Linked DNA regions of Nothobranchius furzeri. The protein of the gene in region 6 binds, or shares a complex with, the protein of the main gene of each other region. Links are inferred from orthologs where the notes say so. Each region holds a gene or a part of one and is shown on either strand. Other genes may lie near its edges. The genes, in order: polr1b, ubtf, polr2h, rrn3, polr1h, taf1a and tbp.

What was found.
Region 1: taf1a (region 6) and polr1b share a complex: the UniProt entries of both Homo sapiens proteins name them as parts of the pol I pre-initiation complex. The link is inferred for Nothobranchius furzeri from reciprocal best matches to the Homo sapiens genes TAF1A and POLR1B.
Region 2: taf1a (region 6) and ubtf share a complex: the UniProt entries of both Homo sapiens proteins name them as parts of the pol I pre-initiation complex. The link is inferred for Nothobranchius furzeri from reciprocal best matches to the Homo sapiens genes TAF1A and UBTF.
Region 3: taf1a (region 6) and polr2h share a complex: the UniProt entries of both Homo sapiens proteins name them as parts of the pol I pre-initiation complex. The link is inferred for Nothobranchius furzeri from reciprocal best matches to the Homo sapiens genes TAF1A and POLR2H.
Region 4: taf1a (region 6) and rrn3 share a complex: the UniProt entries of both Homo sapiens proteins name them as parts of the pol I pre-initiation complex. The link is inferred for Nothobranchius furzeri from reciprocal best matches to the Homo sapiens genes TAF1A and RRN3.
Region 5: taf1a (region 6) and polr1h share a complex: the UniProt entries of both Homo sapiens proteins name them as parts of the pol I pre-initiation complex. The link is inferred for Nothobranchius furzeri from reciprocal best matches to the Homo sapiens genes TAF1A and POLR1H.
Region 7: taf1a (region 6) and tbp share a complex: the UniProt entries of both Homo sapiens proteins name them as parts of the transcription factor SL1/TIF-IB complex. The link is inferred for Nothobranchius furzeri from reciprocal best matches to the Homo sapiens genes TAF1A and TBP.

The regions. Positions count from the first base shown.
Region 1 is NC_091752.1:7,765,347-7,768,832, reverse strand, and holds the end of polr1b (DNA-directed RNA polymerase I subunit RPA2), read right to left. Parts: coding exon 3,412-3,486; intron 3,343-3,411; coding exon 3,092-3,342; intron 1,543-3,091; coding exon 660-1,542; 3' UTR 501-659; downstream 1-500. UniProt on the Homo sapiens protein: Catalytic core component of RNA polymerase I (Pol I), a DNA-dependent RNA polymerase which synthesizes ribosomal RNA precursors using the four ribonucleoside triphosphates as substrates.
Region 2 is NC_091745.1:10,210,543-10,214,542, forward strand, and holds the start of ubtf (nucleolar transcription factor 1), read left to right. Parts: upstream 1-1,200; 5' UTR 1,201-1,338; intron 1,339-1,833; exon of another isoform or gene 1,834-1,990; intron 1,991-3,472; 5' UTR 3,473-3,494; coding exon 3,495-3,531; intron 3,532-3,702; coding exon 3,703-3,875; intron 3,876-4,000. UniProt on the Homo sapiens protein: Recognizes the ribosomal RNA gene promoter and activates transcription mediated by RNA polymerase I (Pol I) through cooperative interactions with the transcription factor SL1/TIF-IB complex.
Region 3 is NC_091748.1:62,882,983-62,886,988, forward strand, and holds the start of polr2h (DNA-directed RNA polymerases I, II, and III subunit RPABC3), read right to left. Parts: upstream 2,801-4,006; 5' UTR 2,628-2,800; intron 2,395-2,627; exon of another isoform or gene 2,340-2,394; 5' UTR 2,328-2,339; coding exon 2,255-2,327; intron 318-2,254; coding exon 234-317; intron 147-233; coding exon 53-146; intron 1-52. Other genes in the region: lisH domain-containing protein ARMC9, read left to right, coding at 3,609-3,683, 3,803-3,928. UniProt on the Homo sapiens protein: DNA-dependent RNA polymerase catalyzes the transcription of DNA into RNA using the four ribonucleoside triphosphates as substrates.
Region 4 is NC_091758.1:12,122,455-12,126,387, forward strand, and holds the start of rrn3 (RNA polymerase I-specific transcription initiation factor RRN3), read right to left. Parts: upstream 2,801-3,933; 5' UTR 2,666-2,800; coding exon 2,525-2,665; intron 2,174-2,524; coding exon 2,117-2,173; intron 2,049-2,116; coding exon 1,959-2,048; intron 1-1,958. UniProt on the Homo sapiens protein: Required for efficient transcription initiation by RNA polymerase I (Pol I). Required for the formation of the competent pre-initiation complex (PIC).
Region 5 is NC_091751.1:25,535,587-25,539,752, forward strand, and holds the start of polr1h (DNA-directed RNA polymerase I subunit RPA12), read left to right. Parts: upstream 1-1,366; 5' UTR 1,367-1,470; intron 1,471-2,040; 5' UTR 2,041-2,063; coding exon 2,064-2,181; intron 2,182-4,166. UniProt on the Homo sapiens protein: Core component of RNA polymerase I (Pol I), a DNA-dependent RNA polymerase which synthesizes ribosomal RNA precursors using the four ribonucleoside triphosphates as substrates. Can mediate Pol I proofreading of the nascent RNA transcript.
Region 6 is NC_091742.1:8,334,908-8,339,104, reverse strand, and holds the start of taf1a (TATA box-binding protein-associated factor RNA polymerase I subunit A), read left to right. Parts: upstream 1-1,397; 5' UTR 1,398-1,559; intron 1,560-1,671; exon of another isoform or gene 1,672-2,090; intron 2,091-4,162; 5' UTR 4,163-4,197. UniProt on the Homo sapiens protein: Component of the transcription factor SL1/TIF-IB complex, which is involved in the assembly of the PIC (pre-initiation complex) during RNA polymerase I-dependent transcription.
Region 7 is NC_091749.1:35,004,844-35,008,203, reverse strand, and holds the end of tbp (TATA-box-binding protein), read right to left. Parts: intron 1,991-3,360; coding exon 1,896-1,990; intron 1,695-1,895; coding exon 1,615-1,694; 3' UTR 501-1,614; downstream 1-500. UniProt on the Homo sapiens protein: The TFIID basal transcription factor complex plays a major role in the initiation of RNA polymerase II (Pol II)-dependent transcription.

The DNA.
Region 1 (3,486 bases), on a different chromosome or scaffold from region 6:
GGACTCTGACATTTTTTGTGCAAATGAATATGCTGTTCCTTCAAAGAACTGTACCGGTACGAGTCCACAGCCACGCATTTGTGTTTACAGAACTTGGTGTCTTCTGGAATTTGAGTGCTTGAAATGCTAGCTACCATTCCCGTCCATTGTTTACGCTAAGCTAAGCTAACAGAATGACTGGGCTTATTGGTTTTCCCCACTCATCAAGCTCTGGGGAATATGGCAACAGACCAAGTTTCACCTAGGGGTGGAATATCTCTCCAAGTGTAAAAAATCAACTTAAGTTTCTGCCGTTTATTTTTTCATCTATTTTTAAGTGTTTCAGTGTAAAAGTTAGAATTATTTTAGTTTTTTTAAAGATGGCGGCATCAGTCCTGAAGAACATAATCTATTTCTCCCAACTGAGGCTGTTCAGAGCACCGTCTACAACAGCGGGTAAAATATAGATATCGACCTGTTTTATTCCTTCGAGTCGGGCTCAAAGAGGACAGAGCCATCGCTGTTAGCTAAATACTTTTATTGGGTTTGGAGAACATTTCATCATCATGGCTGATAAACTATCACATTGACACGACATCACGGTTTCACTGATTTCTTGATTCTGATTTCCACTCAAGTCATAATTAAGGCACGAGTCTTTGTTTCTCTTCTGAAAAACTTTATTTAACCTCCAGCTTGACTTTGATGTTCATCGCTGCGAGCTCGGCTACGAAGTAGCGGAAGACGTACGGGACCGACACAGAGTCGATGGAGTCACTTTTGCCACACAGGGAGCAGACGGTTTTCCGGTTTCGCATGGCAGACCAGTAGGGCGGAGGTTTCTCCAGCAGTGGTGACAGAAGGCTGCCGCAGTCGATGCACACCTGAGCGACCGAGCGATCTGAGCAGTTAAAAAGACGGTCATGAAGCAGGAACGAGGATCCGTGAGCCAGCAGGGCGTCGCGCTCCATTTCTCCAAAACGAATGCCTCCCTGGATGTTTCTTCCTCCCACAGGCTGGTTGGTCACCTTGTCTCGTGCTCCCGTGGTCCTCACCTGGAATTTGTCGGAAACCATGTGACGTAGCCGCTGGTAGTAGACGACACCGATGAAGATGTCAGCCTCCAGTTCCTGACCGCTCAGCCCACTGTACAGCCGCTCTGTTCCATAATAGTTGTAGCCACCCGCTCGCAGCATTTTACCAAAGTACTCCAGCGCCGCGCTGTCTTCAGAGAAGGTGAACGGCGTGGCATCGTGGCTGAGGCCGTGCAGGGCGGCAGACTTCCCAGCCATGCTCTCAATGAGCATTCCTATGGTCATACGGGAGGGGAACCCGTGGGGGTTGAAGAGAATGTCGGGAGTCATACCGCTCTCGGTGAAAGGCATGTCCTCCGCCGGCCACAGGCGGCTCAGGATCCCCTTCTGACCGTGGCGACTAGCAAACTTGTCACCAATGGTGGGGTTTCGAGGCACTCGGACGGTGATGCAGACTCGTTTAAAACGCCCTGAACCGGAGTCGTTGCTGCAGATCTTTATGTTATCGACAACACAGGCCTCTTGGCTCCTGCAGATGAAAAAAAAAAACGCAAAAAGAGTTTAAAAGTAGTAAACAGTGTTGGGAAAGTTACTTTTAAAAAGTAATTAGTTATAGTTACTAATTACTTTGTCAAAAAAGTAACTCAGTTACTAACTGAGTTACGAGATTATAAAAGTAACTAATTACCAAGAAAAATAACTACTTAGTTACTTTTTTTCATTAAAGAATGCAAGAAAAACGGGTTAATTGAACTTACTTAATTTACTATAAACGACTACAGTGGTGAAATATAAATGACTAATGACTGGAACATAATAAAATGTATGTCCAAATGTTTTTTATAAACCTGCATAATTTAAATAAATAAGCACTTAACAGGAGGAACTACTAACAGGAACATTACACTTATCTAGACTATTAAAAGGTCACTGTGTGATATTTAACAAGACCCCAGTCAGCTAAAATTTATAATTGCAAATAGAAACACCTGTAAAGGTTCCCGAGCCTTTAAATGGTCTCTCGGTCTAGTTAAATTACAGAAATGAATGTAGTTTTGCACAACATTTTAATGTTTCCAGCTTCACATAATTGTCTGTTATTATCAGCATTTCTGTTGCTGCTAATCTAGTAACGGTTAAATAAATAAAATCCTTTAAAATGACACTAGAAGAGGCACAAGCCTGATGGAGGACCTACATTTACTAACTTGGGTCAGACCCAACCACAGAAGAGCTGAAGCTGGGTGGTAAACACACACAGGTAGTTCTAATAACACCTGAGCTCCATGACGTCTGAGACTGATGCATCAGTGTTACAGCGGGACTAAAGACATGATCAGAAACAGGTTACAGCTGGATGATCTAGGAAGGTAGAAGATCACGACGTCTGAGCGGTGAACAGGTGAGCGGACCTTCAGGACGCCCCGCTGTCACGCTAAGAAGGGCGTAGACTATTCATCACATCTTCCTCGTTCTTCACGGGCCGTGATGCGCTTGGATGAAAACATCTGCCTCTTTAGCTCCTGATCAGCTGATGACAGCTTCAACACACCGCGCTGCTTAACGCACGCATTTCCATATCAGTAACAGAAACGACGTTTTGATAAAAGAAGACGGTAATTAATTAGTTTGCTCATTACAGAAAGAAATCTTTTTTTTTGTAACGCAGTCATTTTAAACGGCGTTATTCCCATCACTGCTCTGTTGTGTCTACAGCATGCAGTGACCGAGACCGTGAGGGTCTCCGCCCACCCGGCCAATCACCATCGTGTTTGTTACGACACCTCTCTCTCCCTGGCTGCAGCTGAAGTGTGGCGGTCAGAAAGCCTCACACTGTTGCTCAACGTTCGACCCGCACATAGTAACGCACAACCTTCCGTCCCCGGTAACGGTAACGGCGCTGCAACAGCGGGAAAAGTAATTAATTAGATTATTCCGTTACCCTAAAAAAGAACGCTGTTGGTAACGCCGTTATTTTAAACGGCGTTACTCCCAACCCCGGTAGTAAAGTAGGACTGGTTTCTGTGTTTGCTAAAGCTGCTGGTCTAACGTTGACCAGCAGAAAGACCAACTCTTACTTGTAGAAGGTGACGAAGCTTTGGCCCGTGTTGAGGTTGATGTAGCTGTAGAAGGGGTCTCCATACTGAAGCACTGATCCGATGTGAGGAAGACCATCCCCATCCAGCCTGTCCTTCACTTTTGGGTCGCCTGCCTTGGTTCCAAACACCACGCTGTCCTCTCCTTTCACCTTCTCTGCCAGGTCCACCAACTCCGTCTTGTAGATGCTCCCATGAGCGAAGCCTCTCTCCCAGGACGACTTGTTTACGATCTGTTAAAACCAACAAGCGTCAGCGACTCGTCCCAAACAGAGGCTTCCAAATAATCACCTCATATTCACCATGGCGTCTTCCATGTCGTAGCCCGAGTACGATATGACGGCCACGATGGCGTTGGTGCCACTAGGGTAGTTGTC
Region 2 (4,000 bases), on a different chromosome or scaffold from region 6:
GCCAAGAGTCTTAATGAGATAAATTATAGTAGGATTGTTCCTCAGAGAGAAATGTGTTCGTTATTCTTATATTATGTTTAAAATACTATTTAAAACATAAACGTTCTAAAAACATGATACGCAAGCATAATATTCTACATGGGAAAATTACTATTTTAGCTGCCTTTTTATCCTGCTAATAGGTTAAATAGTTGGTTTTATTTTTAAGTCTAGTATTGTCTAGTTTTATTCAGCCATATTCATGATTTCAATCTTCATCAAAGGCAAAACAAAAAAGTAATTAACAATTACACGTTAAATTCGATTTAATACTTTGTAACCACATACAGGAAACATGATATAAATTACTGTGAAAGATAAATACGAACAGGATAATTGAAATTTAAGGTAAACAAAAAAGATAACACAATTGAATTCTTCAAACTATATTATATAATTTTAATTGTAATTGTAGAAGTTTATTTAAACAGTGACAGTGCACAACTTGACATTAACCACAAAAGAAAGATGCAATGTACCAGGTTATAGTGGGGATGCTAATTTCCACCTGTAGTGCCTGGGAAGGTTGATATTAAAATCACTAAACTAAAACAAAAGACGACTGTTTTTGTCCAGTTAGCTAAATTCCTGACACTAATCCAATAATACTTTATTCCTACTGTAAGTGAACATAGCACAGTTTAACAAGACTGAGTGCCTGAAAGTCTTTGTTTTCCTTCAATCGGACGGACTGGATTGGACGGCCGGGGGTTCCGCCCACAAACACACAAGGTGGAGTTGAAAAAATAACATGCTGGGCTAAAATGAAGCTGTCAAACAGCCAGTTACGTTTGAGTCAAAGAGGTTTGGTGCCGGGGGAACGGCACGGACACCGGAAATAAGAGTTAGGAGAATAATCAGACACTGATTGGTGTCAATTATAAACTTTAAAGATGTGTGCGTTCAATGAAAAAAAGTTCACTGGTGGCGTTTAAATTAGGTAACCAGTAAAGCGATTTTTCTTTCAAGTGTAGGCAGACGAAATGTTAGAGATGCAAACTTCAGTGGGAGACGTGAAAGTCGGGCTCGATGAGAAACAATAAACTCTGCTGGCTGAGCTCAGAAAATCAGCGGCGTTAACACTGGGGAACATGGGGATGTGTCGGTGTAGCGGAAATGGTTGGATGGAGAGAAGAGAGCTGCTGCACGTTGACTGGAGGGAGACAGCGAGAGAGATGGAGGCGGGGGGAAGGACCATCTCTGCGGGGACTGGAGCCCAGGACCGACGGCGCAGTGCTGGCTATCGTTCAACCCTCCCCTTCTTCATCCACAGCGACGCGGAGGCTCGCGCCGAGACAGGTAAGCAGCACGAAAGTCGGTCGGTTTCATAACCACACGTGGAAAGAGCGCGATAAACAAACCAGAAAAGCGGTTAAAAGTCGAAAAATAGACATTCTGTTTTTAATGTTGTCTACCAAAGCTCCTTAGGCGGCAGGATCTTTGTGGTAACGAAACAAACTCCCCGCTGGAAGGGCGCAGACGAGGTCGGCCTTACCCGAATTTCTCTGCCCAAACAGCGGGGAAGAAGCTGGATGTAAGACCCAGTGGTATGATGTCTACTATAAATTACACCCAGTGAATTCATGAAGCGAATTAGTTTCACGTAGCATCGGGATTTAGCTAAGCAATCGTTTGTTTCGCGTGGGGAAATGTTTTCCGGTAGTTTCCGCGCCGAGACCTCCACGCGGCTGTTGGCGGAACAGCTAGCCGCCTCTCGGTCAGCCATCAGGGATCTCGGTTTAATATCTCACCGTGAGGAGACTCGCCCTCCCCTCTCCCCCTCTCTCTCTCACTGACTAGCCCAGAACCACCGACAACCGAGCTCGGAGAACCCGCCTTTCCGTCCTCGCTTATGCGCTTTTTGGAGCTAGGGAAGGGAGTCTGCAACGCCCCGGCTAGAGCTTTCGGCTCCGTTTTCAGTGTTCGCAGTACGCCATTGGACCTTGTCACGGTAGGTTTGCTTACAAGAGCGGGGCTGGTAGCATGGCGGACCTGGAGCCGTTTTGTCGCGCCAGAGAAGCTGCTCAGCCGCGGATTGTTCTTTAGATATCCGATAATGAAAGAGCCGATTAAAGCCCACATTTTCCTCGAAACGGAGAATAACTAACACTAACATGAAGTAATTCAAAATTAGGTCAATAATGTTGTTTCACCGTACATATATTTTTTATTTTAATTATGTTTCGCGCCTCCGCAAATAATTTAACCTAACATTTATTAATTTTCGATCTGGTGTAACTTAATTTAGAATATTTTGGAGCATTTTGTATGGTTGTCAAATAATTCATGTTAATTATACGTTGTAAACACAAGTTAATGTGATCCCTAAATCGTCCTTGTGTGACACAAATTTTGATTAGTAGCAAATACTGTTGACTAACTGTGCTACCTTAGATGCTGGTATGATTTTAGGCTTCTTTTCGACATGCTAAGTTACACGGCGTCTTATGTTTTTTTTTCCACATTTATGTAGTATTTTTGACTAAACGTCATAAATCCGACGTTTGAATTTGACATTCTGCGCATTTTACATAAGAAATATGTCGAAAGTAGTGTTAGAAACGACGCGAGGAGACACGGTTGAGCTATCAAGGACAAGATGAACAACGGTCATCCGCCATCATTGGAGCACAGCTCGGCTACGCCTCGCTGAAGAATGCTCTGGCTTTTTGGTCCAAAAAACAACTGCGTGATACCACAAAGCGAACAAAATGTTGAGTGAATTATTCTAAAACGCACACATAAACCCCCTCACGCGTAGAATGCTAGTTTAGTCGTTCTTGTTTTGGGTAAACATTAGTGGAGAAGACTTTAGGGCTGCGTGGCGGAGCTAGATCCACGTCCAACGGTGATGAGGCGTCTCCGCCGAGTGGCGCATTTGGCTGCAGTGCTTCCAAGCTGCCATTCCAGGCTGTCGGAGACCGAAAGCAGATCCCCCGTCCGTGGTCAGCTGGTCGCCTACAGCTGCCTGTCTGTCCACGTTCATTCGCTTCCTCCTTCCGTGGATCCTCCCCAACCTCCGCTCCGACAGAAAGTCCTCCATTACCGAGCAGACCGAGCGAGAAAATGGTCGCTCCTGAGCGTCCACGATACTTCTGTTGTAGAATAAGGACAGCACTAATTCGCCAAATTCCGGTTGGCCCAAAAATAAAAAATAAAAAAAAATAAAAAAGAAGCTCGACAGGGACTCCTGTTGTCGTCGCTAGATATGCTTAGTTGAAGCCCTCCGCAGTGTTATTTGAGATTTGAAGCCGTCACAAGCAATAGCCTATGCCTCACCATGCAGCGTAAACGTTTAGGGGCGGTGTAATGAACATAAACCATTATGTCGGCACACATTTCAACTCAAACGACTTACAACAGAGATCAGTTATAATAAAGTTAGAAAATATGAATTTTAGTGATTTTGATTAATTTATTGTTTCTTTTGTAGTTCAAAAATCGCATTTTCACAAATGAATGGAGAAATGGAGGCAGCGACACATGACCAAGGTAGTATATTTATGAGTCATTTTTATTTATATATATTTTTTTAACAAATGACAAATACTTGTATAATCACGAAATTGTTTTAATGAATTCCACATTTTGTCATCATACTATAAACATAATGCAACCATACTAATAAATCCATGAACCAGTTTACATGTATTTTTTTATCAGTGTGGTCGCAGGATGACCTCCTAAAGCTGCTGGAGGCCATGAAAGTGGCTCTGCCACAGAAAGATCTGACTAAATACAAAACATCCGAGTCCCATCTGGACTGGCAGAAGGTGGCCTTCAACTCCTACACTGCAGAGATGTGTAAACAGAAATGGCAAGAGGTCTCTAAAGAGGTGAGATGCTCAGATCATGATTTTTAGGTCGTAAACCTTTTCAGATGTAATATTTAGATTAAGTTCTTAAAGAGGTCCTCCAATGAGAAACAAGTTTGTCTTATTTTTGGAAATGATCTGTTACA
Region 3 (4,006 bases), on a different chromosome or scaffold from region 6:
CAAAAGATCACACACACTACGAGATGATGGAAGAGTGCAAAAAATGTCTCACCGAGATGGTCGATCATCCTGAGGATTGTACTCTCCATCATCCGGTGTTCCATCTTCATACAAAGTACTGGCAATCACCAGTCTAAACTTGTCACCTTTATAATATGTTATAAGTCAGATTTTTATTGTATTAAGAATTAACTAAATAAGAGTGCCCTCGGTAAAAGGGCTTACGCTCTCACCAAGATCCACAGGATAGATCTGAATGTTCACGTCCAAGATGAGGTCCATCTTAAAAGATTCACTCTCACAGTGCAGACGAGACACTGCAATAGGTGAGAATTTGTCAGTAGATTATAAACATTGTCTGCTGTAGGTTATACAGGTGCTGGCCAGTAAATTAGAATATCATCAAAAGGTTGAAAATATTTCAGTAATTCCATTCAAAACGTGAAACTTGTACATTATATTCATGCAATGCACACAGACCAATGTATTTCCGATGTTTATTACGTTTAATTTTGATATTTATAGGTGACAACCAATGAAAACATCAAATCTGGTATCTCAGAAAATTAGAATATTCTAAAGGCCAATGAAAAAATGTTTGTTTCTCTAATGTTGGCCAACTGAAAAGAATGAACATGAAAAGAATGTGCATGTATAGCACTCAATACTTAGTTGGGGCTCCTTTTGCCTCAATAACTGCAGTAATGCGGCGTGGCATGGACTCGATCAGTCTGTGGCACTGCTCAGGTGTTATGAGAGCCCAGGTTGCTCTGATAGTCGTCTTCAGCTCCTCTGCATTGTTGGGTCTAGCGTATTGCATCCTCCGCTTCACAATACCCCATAGATTTTCTATGGGGTTAAGGTCAGGCGAGTTTGCTGGCCAATCAAGGACAGGGATACCATGGTCCTTGAACCAGGTGCTGGTGGTTTTGGCACTGTGTGCAGGTGCCAAGTCCTGTTGAAAGGTGAAGTCTGCATCCCCATAAAGTTGGTCAGCAGCAGGAAGCATGAAGTGCTCTAAAACTTCCTGGTAGACGGCTGCATTGACCCTGGACCTCAGGAAACAGAGTGGGCCAACACCGGCAGATGACATGGCACCCCACACCATCACTGACGGTGGAAACTTTACACTGGACCTCATGCAACGTGGATTCTGTGCTTCTCCGCTCTTCCTCCAGACTCTGGGTCCTTGATTTCCAAAGGAAATGCAGAACTTGCTTTCATCAGAAAACATAACTTTGGACCACTCAGCATCAGTCCAGTCCTTTTTGTCCTTGGCCCAGGCGAGACGCTTCTTGCGCTGTTTCTTGTTCAAGAGTGGCTTGACACACGGAATGCGACACCTGAATCCCATGTCTTTCATGAGTCTCCTCGTGGTGGTTCTTGAAGCGCTGACTCCAGCTGCAGTCCACTCTTTGTGGATCTCCCCCACATTTTTGAATGGGTTTGTCGTCACAATTCTCTGCAGGGTGCGGTTATCCCTAGAGCTTGTACACTTTTTTCTACCACATTTTATCCGTCCCTTCGCCTGTCTGTTAATGTGCTTGGACACAGAGCTCTGCGAACAGCCAGCTTCTTTAGCAATCACCTTTTGTGTCTTGCCCTCCTTGTGCAAGGTGTCAATGATTGTCTTTTGGACAGCTGTTAAGTCAGAAGTCTTCCCCATGATTGTGGTGCCTTCAAAACAAGACTGAGGGACCTTTTAAAGGCCTTTGCAGGTGTTTTGAGTAAATCAGCTGATTAGAGTGGCAGCAGGTGTCTTCTATATTCAGCCTTTTCAGAATATTCTAATTTTTTGAGATACCAAATTTGGAGTTTTCATTAGTTGTCACTTATGAATATCTAATTTAAATGTAATGAACATTGGAAATACATTGGTCTGTGTGCATTGCATGAATATAATGTACAAGTTTCACGTTTTGAATGGAATTACTGAAATATTTTCAACCTTTTGATGATATTCTAATTTACTGGCCAGCACCTGTATAAACTAAATCCAATAAGCAAGTTGGTTTTTTAACTGCTCTCTTAATGAGCTGAATGTCTTTCAATTTTATATTAGCTTTTAACTTCAGGATGCCAGATTTTCTTTAACATCACTATGTAAAGTCTGCCTTAACGTGGGCAAATAAAAACGTAGAATAAATGATTACTCATGAGTCAATATACCTGTGCATTATGTCAATACGACAAAAACAATATGATGGAATAATTAAATAAGTCACCCCAATACGTTATTGTACTTCATAAGTACCTCTGTCAAACTTCTTGCCATCTGGATCAATGTCTTTCACATCAAAGATATCTTCAAACAAAATTCCAGCCATCGTTGGCCCACTCTGTGAATTTGTGCAGGGGATCAAATGTTTAAGCCCCTGTTATGACTTGAACAACCTGTCAACAAAAAATAAAACGTAATAAACTATAGTAACTTTTAAAAAGCAATGAAACGTTAGGTAGCACAAGAAATCAACTGCTATAAGCATATTACCATAAAATACTTTTATATAAAAATAAGACTAGGACATACGTCAGTTAAAGTTGGCAAGTTTTATCTTCCACGTTGAATCTCCTATTTTGGCTAACAGCTAGCTTTAGCATACTGTTAATTCATTTGTTGCACTTACCCCAAATTATTTTTAGATGTCGTAATGCAAACACAGAAGCCTCGCAACTACTCGATTCTTTAGGACAACAGCGACTGTTCAAAACATAAGCTAGATTTGTTATTTAAGAGTAATTTAATTCATTGCTATCTAGCCAATCTGTGGCGCGCAGAAACAACGTGATTAACCTTTGACACGGGAAGTACTTCTCATAAAACAAAATAAAATGAAAAAATAAATGTTTATGTTAAAAAGCAAAGTAAAACATAAGAAATTGTAAAAATATAATACTCGTACTAAAATAATAGTTTTACCATTAAAATTGCATAATGTATCCTAAAAAAGGTCAACAATTACGTTTGTCTGTGCGTTGTTATAATTTACAATCGTTTACTTTTGTTTTTCTAAATCGCATGCCTCATAACTTAAGGTTATTCAATATATTTTCTTGTAAAATATAATACATTTAGTTAGTTTTAGTTTACGACACTCACATTTACTTTCCGGTGACCCTCTGGTTGCTAGGTATTTTTAGCGTCCCTCCTGTTTGTGGTTGCCAGCTATTTTTTCGTTCACTGTCCGACAAAGCGAGCAAAAATGTACTTTATGGATCTCGTTTACTTGTTAACGCATCACAAACTTGTTTGTACGTCAATTCTCCCAAATCAAATTACGTGCGAATAAGGTAGGAGCCATGTTAATGTCCTGTCGTGTGTCAACTAATTAGATAGCTTGTAGCTTCATAAGTTGTTGCTAATCTTGATGTTAAACCATTTAAGATGGTATAAAACCCCACATGCCTGCCGAAGTTACACTAGCATTCCGTTGTGCGTTTTGGTGTTTGGTTATTTTTACTACTGCTCATAGAATTAAGTTTTTACTTATGTATTTTGCTCTTTTGTTCTTGCACCTTTTAGCTTGAACCCTAGATCTATAAACGTTTTTGAATGAAAGCAGAAATCGTTCCCGTCTAAAGGGGTATTAAATGTTTTCGGTACACACATGAGTTCCAGTGAGGAAGCCAAGATGGGGGACGTCTTGGCAACAGAAGCTGATCTTCTTGGGATGATCAAAGAGGTAGAGAAGATATCTGGGTCACAGCAATATTGATGTTCGCTGAAAATGAATGAAATGCACCAAAACTCAGTGTCATCCTTCACTGTTTAAGTTGAATCATGTTTGTTTGTTTGTTGCAGTACCTCACGTTTGAGGAGTTTGAGGAGACTGTTCAGGTTTTTGACAAGGAATGCAAAAGGAAAGGCAAGCTGGTCTCAAAACCGAGAGGAAATGCTCTAAGAGACTCTAAGACTCGTGTCATTCAGGTAAACAATGCTCTTCTTCAACATGGAAATCTGCTATGTTGGTGTGTTTTCTGTCATAGTGGGGAGACGTTTATGTAG
Region 4 (3,933 bases), on a different chromosome or scaffold from region 6:
TGTGTAGATCTAGAAGGGCCTACAGCATTTGGACATCTGAGGGGCACGTGGCTACTCGGCTGTTTTATATTGTTAGCTAATCCTTTACAAATCTACTTTACTTCTATGAAAGGCCATTTTTTGTTTGTGTGCGATTTAAAAACAATGAACCTGCAAATCTTTGATGTAAAATGGTCAAAAAGTTGGGTGCTCTTCAGAAACACCGTTAGCTGTACCAACGCAACCAGTGTGTGGGTTTCCCAGCCCCCCGGGGGCTGCTGACCCCAAGGAGAGCCCCTGTGTGTGGGGGGGGGGGGGGGGGGGGGGTCCTTGAACACAAGTAGCTGAGCTGACTTTCCTCTGCAGCCTTAAAGCCGGGCGTACACTGTGCGACTTTTTCACTCGCAGCGTTCAGCTTCAGCTCAAACTGTACGACTTCCTCACAGAGCAGATCTCACAGTCGTGTGCTCACACTGCACGACCCAGTTCTCGCATGCGACCTGACTGCTCACACTGTACGTCTGGTAGCAACACGTCGGCCCTAAAAATGTGCTAAAAATAGCAGTTTTTACTCAACACGTCAGACTTTTTTGTCTTGTTTTGCCTGTTGTCCTTCGGTAGTGCTGCAGGAGGACACACAGGGATTTATGGGGGTTGGATGAGGAAAACGAAATAAAGAAAGTAAATCTGTGTTTTGTGATCAGTTTAATTTGACATGAACACGACAAACACGCTTTCTTGACAATCTTTGTGAGTAAAAAAACGTGTAGAAACAAAAATGAGCAGCGTGTTATTAGGGAAATAGCGAGCGACCGGCCGGCGTTGATGCAGGATTGCGCGCGCATGCGCCGTGAGCGGTTCTGATACTTTTTGGGTCGCAGCTGCTCGCAGCGCCGCTTCAACAGTGCGATACCCTCACGAGGGACGAGCGAAATATTAAACACGCCAGAAGTCCCTGCGACCTCACGACTGCTGATCGGCGGCTGGTCACGTGGTGTTACTCGCCTCTCGTAACCCCCTGTACACTACACGACCGCTCGGCGCAAAACTCGCCCCGATCTTGTGGATTCTCGCACGACTGGAAAATCGGCTCAAAAAAGTGAAAAAGTCGCACAGTGTGCGCTGAGCGTCGTGTAGTGTACAGGGGTTACGAGAGGCGAGTAACACCACGTGACCAGCTACCGATCAGCAATCGTGAGGTCGCACAAACTTCTGGCGTGTTTAATATTTCGCTCGTTCCTCGTGAGGGTATCGCACTGTTGAAGCGGCGCTGCGAGCGGCTGCGACCCAAAAAGTATCAGAACCGCTCACGGCGCAATCCTGCATCAACACTGCTCGTCCGCTATTTCCCTAATAACACACGCTGCTCATTTTTGTTTCTACACGTTTTTTACTCACAAAGATTGTCAAGAAAGCGTGTTTGTCGTGTTCATGTCAAATTAAACTGATCACAAAACACAGATTTACTTTCTTTATTTTGTTTTCCTCATCCAACCCCCATAAATCCCTGTGTGTCCTCCTGCAGCACTCCCGAAGGACAACAGGCAAAACAAAACAAAAAAGTCTGACGTGTTGAGTAAAAACTGCTATTTTTAGCACATTTTTAGGTCCGACATGTTGCTACCAGACGTACAGTGTGAGCAGTCAGGTCGCATGCGAGAACTGGGTCGTGCAGTGTGAGCACCTGACTCGTGAGATCTGCCCTGCGAGGAAGTCGTACAGTGTGAGCTGAAGCTGAGTGCTACGAGTGAAAAAGTCACACAGTGTACGCCCGGCTTAGGAGGAAGGACTAGATCCACCTCCTCCTCCTCATGAATAGGAGCCAGCTGACATTGCAAACAGCTAACAATTGTTCCCTATAATTACAGAAATCACTGAACTAAGTTCTGTTTTCAATCAGATAATCTAAGGGAAATGAACCATCTAATCTGATCAAATGAAGGTTTGAGCTCTCCTCATCAGTGAAGCTGTCCTCTCACCAGAATCGTGTAAACCAGCTGCTCATGGTCCTTTGTCAACTGAGTCACACAGCTCCGAAACTCCTGCAGCCAGCTGATGAGCTGAGCATCCTGTCCAGAGAGACATGACCATTATTCGCACCTTCACACCGACCCAAGATCAGCCTCAGAGGTTTTACCTTGATTTCAGGATCCACCAGCTGATGCTTCAGCAGCTCGTAGTCATTTGTGTCCCCCTTCAAAAACAGACAAGCGCCTCATCAGGACACAGGGCTCTTAGAGGAAGGTGAAAGGAGCTGCTCCTGCTGCTAACAATCGTATCAAACTAAAGTAAAATGATTCTGCCACAGCACAACCACCCAGGATATTTCACCTTCCACCTGTATTTGAAACATTCATGTTTTTGGTTTAAAGTTAAAACTCATTCCTCGTCTTTTAACCCTCGAGGCACCTTGGGTCCCAATTAAACATGTTGCTTTTTTATCTTTAACATCTATCAGTTTAAACTTGGCCGAGATCATGTTAAGCCAGAGAAGTCTAGCTGTTGTCTTTACCATGCCCTGGACTGGACCAGCTACAGCACTCACGTGTCTGGCTTTCTCCAGAGTCTCCGCTACGCACCCCCCAAACCGGACCGTCTTGGCCGGAGGAGAGTTGAGGAAGTCCCTACCGTCTGCATCCATGGTTCCGGCCACGCGCTGGTTTCCACGAGCTAACGTGGCTATCATCAAACTAAACGTATACGTTAACGTATTCTCTCATTTCACCGGAATAAAGACGGGGAACAATATCAATACAAGACCCCAAAACACTAGTGAAAAGCAAAGGCAAGCTGCTGTGAGCGCAGGCGGAAGAAATCACGTGTTTCCGGAACAGAGTGATGAGGTGTCACATTAAAACTCTTCCCGCGGTGCGCGAGACCCACTTTTTTTTTTTTTTTTTACAGTAAACAGAAAAGCATTATTTTACGATAAATAACTGTGTTTCACCCTGAATGTAATATTAGCTAAATATAGTTTCTGTAAGAATTTACCACCTGTGTGCTACAAGATTGCTAATTCAAAATATATAATGTGTTCATCAGGGAAAACAAATGTTAAATTTAAGCACCTGAGAATTATTTTTTTCACAGTTCATCAATTTCTTTGAAGTGTTGAGCATAATTAACTAAAACTGTGGATTTTTTCACATAGCAAACTGTGATCATCACATCTACTGTGCCTCTGAAACTTTATATCTTTATTGTACTTTGTTTTGTTTCTCTACCAGACTAGTGTGTCATTTAGAAAAACATATTACCTCAAGCACATTTTAAGGGGAAAAAAAAGTATTCTACTTTTTGCTAAAATAAATAGGTGAAAAGAAAAATAAACACTTCAGATCAATGTTGTTCTGCATCCTGGAGAAAAACCAGTGGTCTCTCTCAACTAAGTTCAAAGGTCACAACCTGATACCCATGTTGGGTGGGACTGGCTACACTCTTTTACAGGGCTTGACTGGGTTGATTTAACCCTCTAGAGGTCGGCGTTGCAGATGTGCAACGTTAAAACCTACCTACCTGGTTACCCCACACATGTATTTCATGAGCATGTTTTAACTCAGAACCCCTGAAGGACTTAGTTGTTCGTCCTTTTATCAAAACTTATTTTTGAGCCTGAGAGGGTAAATGCATCCGATTTTATTTTGCTGCTTTACGTCGTGATGAAATGAACGGATGAAATCCACAGGCTGCATCCCTTCAGACAAACTTTGGTGTACCTGTTTGGACTGAGAACGTCGGAAATAAAAAGAAACAGTAATCGAGTTAATCAGAAACTCCTTCAGTGACCACCGAGTCTCAGAGTCAATCTGTCTGCCAGCTGAAGCTTGAACTGAACCAGATCATCAAACAGATCCATGACCCAAACACAACAGCAGAACTACCAAGGAATCCAGGGGCGGAAGTGCTCTAGTCAGAGTCCAGGGGCCATGCCCCCCCCCCCCCCCCCCCCCTTAA
Region 5 (4,166 bases), on a different chromosome or scaffold from region 6:
CATCCTGTCTATACTTGTGTGAAAGCAAAGAGTTGGTTGGTAACACAATCTAAGGGTGGATCTGTTAGTCAGGAAGCACTGATGACTTCGAGTAAGTGTTCTGCAGGCAGGACTGGGATGATTTAAATCCAGAAATTTGTCACTGAGGCATGTGAGACATGATGGTAGAATTGATATGTTGTTAATAAAGTTGCTAAAACATTTTAATCTTCATGATAACATTTTGCAACACGACCTTCAGTCACAAAGCTTTATTCTAATGCTCCACTTTTTGTAATCTTTTTCTGGGATGTCTTGAAAACAACAAAGGAAGATGAAACAACCTTCTGTGATCCATCCACGTCTGCTGGTGAAGTTCCGTTTCCTCCCTGACACATTATATGGCAGGAATTGATGGACCATTTAATTACTGAATGTGTGATGTCTACATCATCAAAGAAAGATTAATACTTGCATTAGGGCTTATTGTTTGTCATTCTTTTACTGTGTTCAAATTATGAATTGTATTTTTGATTTTCATTAACATTTAAAAGGAGTCCACAAATAATATAATATGGAAACAATTCATTAAAATAAAACACCTATGGAAAAGTCAGACATCCGTTCAAATTTTCTACATACATGCACCAAACAAATGAATGATCATAGGTTTCAGCCTGATAAGAAAACACAGCATCACTGTCTCAGCTGGTCGGTTCCAGTTTCACTCCAATGTGAACTAAACTAAATCAGAAAATTTCAAAATTTGTGATTTTAAGAACATTTGGTTTGTGTGACATCTGTAACCACCGATGTGTAGATTATTCTAGTGGCCTTTTTTTTCTTCTTCTTTTTTTTTTTTTTTTGTAAAATAGATAAAAATAAACAGTTATGAGCAGTACTGTTTTTGACATGGGCGACCTGGGTAATGGCCCAGGATGGCATCATGAGAGGGGTGGCAAAATGGGTACGAAAAAAAAACTTATTTTGGGAGCGCAGTGCCTGAACATTATGCTGGTGTGTGTAACTTTTGGAAACATTTGTTCTGCTGCGTGCTGCAGAGGGAGGAGGACAGGTCTGCTGAAGCGGCTTGAGTGAAGCAGCATCTAAAAGTAAAGTGTGTTCGCCCAGGGCACCGAACAGGCTAGGACCACCCCTGGTCATTGTTGCCCCAAATCTCTGCACAGTAATTATGAGTTTAGTGTTGTTTATTATTTCCACGTATGCTTTACTTTGGTATTGAAATGCTTCTGGAGATGCTATATGATATTTCCACCTTATTTTATTGTTTGACACCATTTAATGGTATTTGCGAATTAATTTAATTATTCCCAAATAACATTTTGGTCATTAACTCATGTCACGTAAACAAGCGTGCGACACTAGCACGTCCTGCGTCATCAGCCTGCGACAATAACGTGATAGGACCATATACATAGCTGTGGATAGGACCCTAGGACCTCTACTGCAAACAAGTGACCGGTGAAAGAGGTTTGTAACGTTTTATACTGACTTAATAAATGATGACAGTAGCGCTGTTTTGAACTAAATGTGTAAAGAATAGCCGAATACTAATATAAACATGTAAAAGGTTTCCAAGTAGCTCCACGTGCTCAATGTGCTGCTGCTACTACTGCTAATAATAACAATAACATTCACTCGTTAGATTTCATCACACAGCCAGGAGGTCTTTTAAAGTGTTAATTTATAAAGTGCTAAGTCTTCATAACGGAAGTTACGGTGTAACTATGGTTCTGTGAGTTCCTGGATGACTGCCAGTCACAGGGGTCACTCGGAACTTCTCGGGCGAGAAGATCCCGGGAGACCCGAACGTAGCTATCGGCGCGTAATTTATAGACTCGCGACCAGGTGCGCTACGTGTCACGTGCGTGACTTTGTTTACATTAGTACTCGACCTGCGCAGAGCGCGAGGAGATACATCCACTCTGTTTACTGCCACTGGCAGTCAGGAGGGAACGAAACAGAACCCATGTGAACCGAACGGGAAACCAGTGGTTCATGGTTTTGATTGTTGTTTTCAACGTGTCTGTGTTTCTCAAGAGTCAGCAGCCCGGTTCGACGGGATGTCTTATTTTAGTGGTGACCCGAACTTCTGTCCTGAATGCGGGAACGTTCTTCCGGTACCAGTAACCTCCAACACTGTCCTGTGTCCTCGCTGCTCCTTCTGCATTCCTGTTTCAGGTAACGTGTCCCAGAGCCGTTTCTAGCTTTGTGAGGGCCTGATTCAAGAGGCTGTTTGGGAACCCGGGTGGAGGTGGTGATGATTCCTCAAAGTACCACAAGTGTAGTAAAAAGAAAAAAAAATCACTTCACAGTAAATGTATTTAACGTGATAGTGATGCACCGATATGAAATTTTTGGGCTAAAACAAATATACAATATTAATATCACCGTTATGGCCGAAAACCGATACCGATATACCGACATTAATGCTTCTAAAATCAGCAGATTTTGTGTAGGGCTTGTGATCACACGTGATTACGCATAGCATTCTGCAAACTGTGAAATAAACGGTACTGTCGCAGAGTAGAAGCAGATTTGGGTGAAAGAAAGTGTTAAATCACATAAAATCCCAACAAGGATGTGGAATATACAGGGACATGTTATATAAAGACGTCGGGGACCGGTATGTGGACAAAATCATCATTATAAATGGTTTTGATCCACATAAAAGACCCAAGACTGGAGCACTGGTGACATATTGTTGCAGCTGCAGTTCTGCATAACAGACTTTTTCGGCTATCTTGTTTAACGTCCAGATGAGAGGTAAACGTTTAATTTGTTGGTTTTTCTAGTAAAACAATCAAAATTGTCATCCCTCAGAAGAAGTGTAGCGAGAAAAGTTATGTTGTGTATCATTAGCTTACCGGTAGGTGAGTGTAGCCTCTGTGTACGTGTGTGTTTCGTGTGCATGTTGCGGTTGAGGGAAAGAAACGATGTATAAAAACGTACACCATCTGTAATTTACCAGAATGAAAATAATTTGGAAGGTGATGTTTGGTCGCCTTACAGCTGCGATCCAAGTGAGCTAACAAGACTTTATGCTAGATACTTGGTCTCTGTCGTTTTGCCACTAAACAGGAAAACTGTGGAAAGTTAGCTTGTTTTTCACCTTAATTCCACTGGCGATCACGTGTGTCACATGAATTAATAATACATAAAAAGTATCAGCTGTTGTGCTACAGCTACTATTTACCGTCTATGTGGTAGATTACTGTAAATACAGGCATGAACATGTAAGCACACAAACAAATACATATATCAGGTGCATCCTGCATGGAGTAGTGACCGTAGCGTTTAAGTGGCTGGCTGACTAATGACGTCATAATGTGTTATAAATCCCATCTACTGGTGGAATCGGTGGTCTACGGGAGTGCTCCTTCCTGCAGCGGGGGTATATCAGTTTCTGACTGAATGAGCTGCTCAGGTTGATGTGTGTTGTTCATGATGGATGTTAGCTTAGCTAGCATCCTCCTCTCGCCCACCACCGATTCCAGGGGGCATCCCAGTACAGAGCTAGTCCTCTGCACCAGTTTGCCAATTCTGTTCTGGTCCCTGTCTGTACATCCGCTTCCCCAACAGGCCACTGCATAGAAAAGGGCAGATGCAACCGACAAATCATAAAAAGTCCTTCACAGAGTTCTGCATACTCTGAAGGACCTCAGTTTCTCAGCAGGTGGAGTCAACTGCATTTGAGATGGGCAGATGAAGGACAGTCCTTGTGGTAACTCTGGGAGAGCTTAGTCTGACTGATTGTTGCCTTTCTCCTTTATTGTTTTTTCATTAAAAACAATACGCATCCAAGAAGAAGAAGAAGAAAAGATCTCTTCTATAGCGCCTCTCAAGATAAAAATCACGAGGCGCTTCACAAAAACAAAAAATGTAAAAATATAAAAAAGAATTTAGAAAATGATTAAAAATATATTTAAAATGAGCAAAAGATAGACAATTGTGATTAAAAATGTAAATAAAGAGAGAGATTGAATAGGAAAGAGGGAAATCCAACACAATTATCTTGAATTTTAGAAACACACACACTTAAAAAATACATATTTCAATCAGGGATTACAATTATTATTTTTTTTTTCAAAATTTATCGTTTTAGCTTTTTAGAACAGTTTAATTTGCTTGTTGCTGTCATAACAAAAACACCTACAAAAACTATT
Region 6 (4,197 bases):
ACAATGTAAACTTGACTTTACTTTTATTTACAAACGGAGCGTTAAGATAAAATAACTTTCATTTTTATGAGAAAGTTTCTACATTTCCATATTTTACAGGATACAGTTTACATGCACATGTACCATGTTTCATTCCAAGTGATACTTTGTGTCATATTTTACACTTTAACAAAACGTTGTTTGATATTTAATACAGAAATACTCATCCAAGGTGCAGCTAAGTATTGGTCTTTGGGTGCTGCCATAATTTTTTGTGCTTTTATTTATGTGACAGTGTTTTATTGAGGCTTTGTTTGATTTGCATTTGTTCTCATGAACTGTATCCGTATCTGTTTTTCTAAGGTGGTTCTCCCCACACACCAGGATTTGTTGGCTTTTATCCACACTTTGGTTATTTCCCTGAGTGCCAATGTGATTTTTTATTTACAGATTATTACAGATTAGTTTTCTCCCTCCAAAGGCAGGAGTTGGAGTCTTTCCAGTTTTTGGTCACACTTAATGATGCCCACATTAGCAAAAAATGACAACATTTAGACATAAATCATGAACTAATGGCCCCTTCCAAACTGGTTGATAAGCATAAAAATGTTTCTTGAAACTAAGGAGGCAAATAATGGACGGAACTCTTCTGTTTCAAGTAATCATATTTATATGTTTGACATGGAAGTAATATGCATTATTATAAAAGTAAAAAATAGTTGTTAATCGTGGTACAACTTCTTTTTATTTATTTATTTATATATTTATACATTTATTTATTATTATTATTTTTTACCTTTGTCAGTGGATAAAGTTAAAAGCACCACCAAAATAAAAAGCCAAAATGTCAACTTTTTTACTGTTGTATCTTTTTGTCATTTTCACAGGATTGAGAATCGATTGTTTAACAAGTAATTAAAGCACATCCTACTACATAAAAGCTTGTTACTCTGCATATTTTTGTTTGAACTTTCTATGATAGACCAATTGCTTGATTTAAATAGTTTTGTAAGATCATCTTTGTAGATTATTTCTCATGTTTATTAGGCCATTTTGGAACCACTATTTTTCCATTTTGGGGCGTTTTAGTCCTCCTTATGGCAACTATTTCTAGTGATTTCTTTTAAAAAGCTCGGAACATGTTTAGTCTGGCTTACCTCCCTCTTCCTCACCAACTTCTTTTTATGCTAGTGTTTATGTATTTTTCGGCCTCCAGTGTTGTTCAGTTTTATTCCTATGTTTAATCTTGAATTTTTATTATTATCTTTTTAATCAAATGTTTAGCGCTTGCAAAGCGTGTTGTGACTTTTATTTAGAAAAGCCCCAATGTAATATCAGCTCCGCCTTTTCCGGTGTAGTTAACCAATAGCATTGCAGCTTTCTCCCCAGCTTCCTTTAGCCGTACTTAAAACGTGGGTTTTACAAATAAGTCATATGAATATGTATCTCGGTTGTATACACTGATATTATAACACACTTTAAGATATTTTCCGGCATTTGTAGCTCACTTGAATTAGCTTATATAATTTGTAGATTATTCAGCAATCCTTAGAAACACCTAACTTTACTCCTGAGAGGAGGTAAGCTAACAAAGGTTTGTTTACATGTGATCCTGCTAGAGGATGGTTGATTTTTTAAAATCCTGATTGGCTCTTTTTGGATAACAAATAATTTCAATAATTTTGGAAAGTTTTACTTTAGTAAAAGAGGGGTAGATTCCCAGTCTTTCATTGACAGCTATGCTAAGAACGCTAACTAGCTTGTGTGTTAGCAGCACTCTTGAGCAGGTGTCACCAACACAGAGGGCTACCATCCTGCACATGTTAGCTGTTTCTTTGCTCCTACACACCTGATTGAAATGAACGAGTAAATAAAAGGTCTATGCAGAGTTAAGGAGATGATTAAATTACTTCATTCAGGTGTGGTAGAGCAGGAAACAGCTATTTTTGAGAAAGTTGATGATAGGTTTGGAAAATCTCTATTTGCAGATGACGGTGCCATCTGGAGAAGTGGGAGGAATTTTAAGCATTTGTTTTCTCAGACACCGAAAGCTTTAGATCAAATTGTGCAGTGGGCAAATAACGGAGGATTCAAGTTATCTATAGTAAAAAGTAAATTTATGATCTTTGGCTTAAAAAGGAAAATCCCATCTATGAATATTCATATTTATGGCTCTGTGATTGAAAAGGTTTAAGTTTTTGGGTTTGTGGTTTGATGAGAAATTAATCTGGAAAACACATAGAAAGATTAGTAAGCAAATGTGAAAAGGTAATTAATGTCATGAGGAGTTAATCAGGTAGCAGCTGGGGAGCGGAGAGAAGTACTTTACAGTTAATCTATAGGGCTATGATTAGGCCTGTTTTGGATTATGGATGTGTGGTTTTTGGGAAAGCTTCTAAATCTGTGTTGTGTAAATTGGATTATGTGCAGTTTATGGCCCTAAGAATCTGTTGCAGAGCATTTAGATCTACTTCAGTTCCAGCATTGCTGGTTGAAACGGGTGAGTACCCTTTGACAATGAGGAGGGGAAAACTAGGAGTTCATTATTGGCCGGGTTTAGTGGCAGCTTGGCGTATAAATGTCTCATAGATGATTGTCGGGAGTCCAGTGAAGATCAGGATAAGGACAGTTTCCTAAATCATATTGTAAAACTAGTAAATCTCCTAGGACTACAAAAGGAAATGGTGGTGGGGTTAGTGTGGTCTCCAATACCGTTTTGGAAATTACCTGAGCCAGAAGTTGTTTTGGATTTACTAGGATTAGAAAAAGCGGTTGCCATTAAACTGTTAGAAATGTATTTAAGTGTTCAAAGATGCTATCCAAATTTATACTGATGGATCTAAAGAAACTACATTTCATAGAGCTGGTTTTGGGGTTTATATTGTCGAGCTATAAGTTAGGTCAAGTGTTTGTGTGACAGATAAATTATCTGTTTTTTCTGTTGAGCTTTTGGCTATTTTGTAGGCAATGAAGTGGATAGTGGAGCATAAACCATCTCACACTATTGTCTGCTCTGATTCTGCTGCTGCACTGTTGACTCTAAGTAACGGGACATCTGAGGCATGGAATGACTTAGTTTTGGAGATTTTGTGTTGTCTAATGGGCCATTCCCATCTGTACCGGGTCGGCCCGGGCTGGGTTGCGTAGGTTGTTTACATATCTGGGTGGCCTGGTATTTTTCCGGGCTAACCAAGGCTCATTCTCAGCCCTCTTCTCGAGGGGGTCTGCTTCAGGCCGACCAGGGCCAACACACCCACTGCTGACAGCAAATTCACACCTTCCATTAGAGCAAGCCTCTGATTGGTGGGTAGAATCAGCCCACATGGGCTTAAGGCAAGGATGTGTGGAATCAACCGGGCCAGGCTGGGGCCGACCCGGTACAGATGGGAATGGCCCATTAAAGACGCTGAGAATGCGGGTTCTAGGGTGGTATTTGTCTGGGTCCCTGGACATACTGGAATTTTGGGAAATGAAATGGCAGATGCATTGGCCAAAGACTCCATCCTTAGAAATAGCATTGATCATCATCTTCCTCTGGGAAAAAGAGAATGTTAATAGTATGTGCATGCAGTAACTATTTAAAAAATTTGTGGCAGAAAGAATGGGAAGGGGAACGTAGAGGAAGACTTTATTTTCCTTGTCAGCCGTCAGCTCATACTAGTTGGCAACCCTTAACCTGTTGTCGTAGAGATGAAGAGGTGATTGCCAGAATGAGATTGGGGCACTGTGGTCTGGCGGCATGCTTATTTAGGATTGGTAAACATGTAGATGGGTTGTGTGAGTGTGGTAGTTCCAAAACTGTTGTTCATGTATTGTTGTCATAGCCTGGCAAGCCAGACTAAATAAATGTATTATTTAAGATAAGGATTAGCAAACTTTGCAACACAAGGATTTGGTCTAGTTCACTAGGCTATTGTTGTCATGCAGGAAATACAATAGTGAGAAGCGGCAACTTTTTTATGGGGCTGGTGGATTTGGGGATGGAATCTTTTTCCTTTTTTTTTTTCGATTAGTGCAAATTCCCAATGTGTATATAGCTTGATTGTTCAATTCCTTCATCACACTGGCATTTATTCGAGGATATAATGTAGCAGTAATATAACTGTGGTGGGCAGCATTGCACATTCCAGCGTATAGTCTGCTGGAAATTTATTATTATTATTATTATTATTATTATTATTAGAAGAAGAAGAAGAAGAGGAAGAAGAAGAAGAGGAA
Region 7 (3,360 bases), on a different chromosome or scaffold from region 6:
AACGTGTCCTGGGTCGACCCGGGGGCCTCCTGCCGGCAGGACATGCCGAAGCACCTCCCCAAGGAGGCGTCCAGGAAGCATCCTGACCAGAAGCCCATACCACCCTTGTTCTTAAAATTTAATGATTTTGACATGTCAGTTCCAACATAATCACCTACAAATGATTCTCTTTTGACTGATGTTACATGGGAGACAATCCTGACTTGTCTTTTTTATGATGGGTATCAAATAAGCCACAATTCCTTTTGTAAGAATGATTGTATTGTTTAATACACAAATTACTTTATTTCAGATATTCAGAGAAATTATGTATTTTCTGCAGCTCTAACATCCAACTACAACATGTTTTAACTCTTACCCAGAGGTTTTCCCTAAACTATTTCTATACAGGGATTCAGTATTTTAGTCTTCACAGTTTATTTCTTCATGGTGACTTTTGGTTTTACGCAAGAGACTTCAGCTGTAAAATGTTGCTGCAAAGAAAACCAAGTAGACTTGAGTCATATGTACACTTTTATTGGGTGGAAAAGAAAACAATGGACCAAACTTCTTCGAGTCTGCTGGGAGGACAGAAATCAGACAGAAGAGACAAAGATGGAGACTGAACATGTCACTAAATAAACCAGACTTTTAACTAGTTGCCATAAACGTCACTAGCTGACCGTATAACACATAAGACCACCAGCAATGACTTCAATGTGATCCTACTTGAGTTTTAATTTTAGACAAAGGCCAAACAGCCAAAATTCTGCTGATTTGAAACAACCAAAAACATTTTTAAAACTATACTGCATGGGTTTGAAATTAATATTAATCATAAGAGCTTTTTTTCCCTTATATCAATATTGAGCCTACTGAAATCCCGCTGAAGAGCTGCATCGACTTTAAGATTGGCATCACTTCTCATTCTAATTACAGAAGAACATATACACACATTCAAGTTTAACCATTAAACACTTTCTTCCTGTAACCACAACAAACCAGTTCTCTCTTTCAACAGAAAGATTGTTTCACGACTTCAACCAGACAAAGTCGAAAGTTATCAAACGCCTCTAAACAACTTAACTGTTTAGCAGCAGCAAACATTCATGGACAACTTGGCCAGTCAAATAAAGATTAGCTCAGCTTGAGTTAATGGGCGTCTACTCCCAATGAGTGTAAAAAAAAAGTCATTAATCAGGATTATTTTCTACCTTAAGGGAGTAAGCATAGGATTTAAAATCCCAAGTATCATGTACAGCAGGGGATTTAAAGAGAGGTCAACAAATGCTAACAGCTGAGAGTATAAAAGTATTTAAAACAGCTTCACATAAAACCAGCAGTCCTAGTCGTCGAACTGCTTTTCTGCTCAACAACACTTTACATTTTTTACAGTCATATGTACAGTTGGGGATGAGATGGGACAACAAAAACCTGCAACCACAGGACACAATAAACATGGTCAGAGTGAAAGAACAACCTTTAAAATGATGATTAAAAAAATTGAAGACAGAAAGATGGATGAAAAAACTCCCAACACCTGCATCAGTCTACCTTCTCATTAAAAATGTGACATTAAATAATGAATGAAATAAGAGGATCAGGTTTCAGGAGGTGGAAAAGAAACCCCAGGTCCTACGTCGTTTTGCGGAAACCTTTCAGAATGGGGTAAATGTTTTCAAATGCTTCGTAAATCTCTGATCTCACTTTGGCCCCTTCAGGAAAAACAAAAAAGATTGAAACATGGATCAGTATCAAGATGAATCTAGAAAACTTACAGAATCTCTTGTTCTATTTTAAATAAAAAAATTACAATCCTTTCAAAATAAAAGGAGATCCAAAACAATGTGCCAAATTATTAGGTGATACTTTAACTAGAATCTAAAAATACACCCGTCTGAGAGCTCGGGCCTTACCTGTGAGCACTACTTTCCCAGAAACAAAGATGAGCAAGACGATTCTGGGTTTGATCATTCTGTAAATCAGTCCTGGAAACAGCTCCGGTTCATAGCTACAAAACACAAGTTAGACTTTCACAATTATATGAATTTTAAATTAAAAAAATGTACCATTTTTAATTAAATCTTTGCAAACATTAGCGATGCTCAGATCAGGTTTTTTGCTGCTTATGGATTGGCCATAAATGTATCAATGCTGTTATTATACTTGCTACATGATCTGGAATAAAGGAGCAATAATATTGCCCAATTTTGACAAAATCATTTTACAAAATACAAGACTTGTCAGTGTGTTTCTGACCAGAACTTATAAGCCTTCTACTATTTTCAGTTCAACTCAAGATGATCATGTCCAGGATGACAGAGAAGCTTCCCCTTGTGCTTAGGGCTGTAGCGAAGCCTCGACTACGTCGACGGCTCGATTCTAAAAATTTGTCGACGTCAGATCCGGAAGTCGACGCACCGCGCCCACTTGTTGCATCCCCAGGAGTTTGTAAATAGAGGAGGAATCTGCCTGTTTTTCCTCTAGTTCGCCCTCTTCTCCGCCTTCACTAACATCTCCGCCAAATACCGAAGACCCGGAACAATGTCCGTCCACTACTAGATTATTTTCCTGTTTTGCCCGCCTTCGTCTCCCGGCAACGGACAACAACTTCCGGGGTCAGATGCGCTGCTCCGTCTCTATCGCAGATGTAGAAAATCACCGGGAGCGTTTCTCCCTTCATAAAGGAGCTTCTTTCAGACATTAGGAGAGCTGTTTTGGTGGTAGCAGTCTCTCCTCCGTGCTGGTCTGTTTGCTGCTGGGTGTTTTGGTTTATTTAAACTTGGTAACTTGAACTTAACGTTGGTAAAGCTACTGTTAGCATCTTCGCTAACAGCTTCTTGCGTTGGGATAAGCTGTTACGTTTTGGTTTAGAGTTAATCTTTTTTGTGGTGTAGATCTCCCTTTTATTACATTTAGAGTGTTGTGGGTTTTCGGTTTAGTGTAAAATATCACCTTGAGTTTGGTTTAACCCGTAAGACCACTCGCCTCACGCACATAAGTGACCAAAACAAAGCAGCGTGGAGACACTCCATCTTCTACCACCTCTCAGGCAGCAGCCTGCACTCCCAAGTTCTACACGTCACCAGAACATAACCAACCGCAACACAATAAAAGCAGTGTTATACAAAATGGAAGGCCTGTAGTGTTTATTCTCTTACAGTAACAATTTATCAATTTTTTTGAGGAATTTATTTGAGATTTTCTGGTTTTTGTTAATTGTGCAATAGAAAAATAATCATTAGATTAATTTTCTAAATAGTCATTAGAATAGTCGACTATTCGATAAAATAATCGTCAGAATAATCGTTTTAAAAATAATCGTTTACCCCCAGCCCTACTTGTGCTGTATTTTTGTTACAGGATGCAAAGTTTAGATCA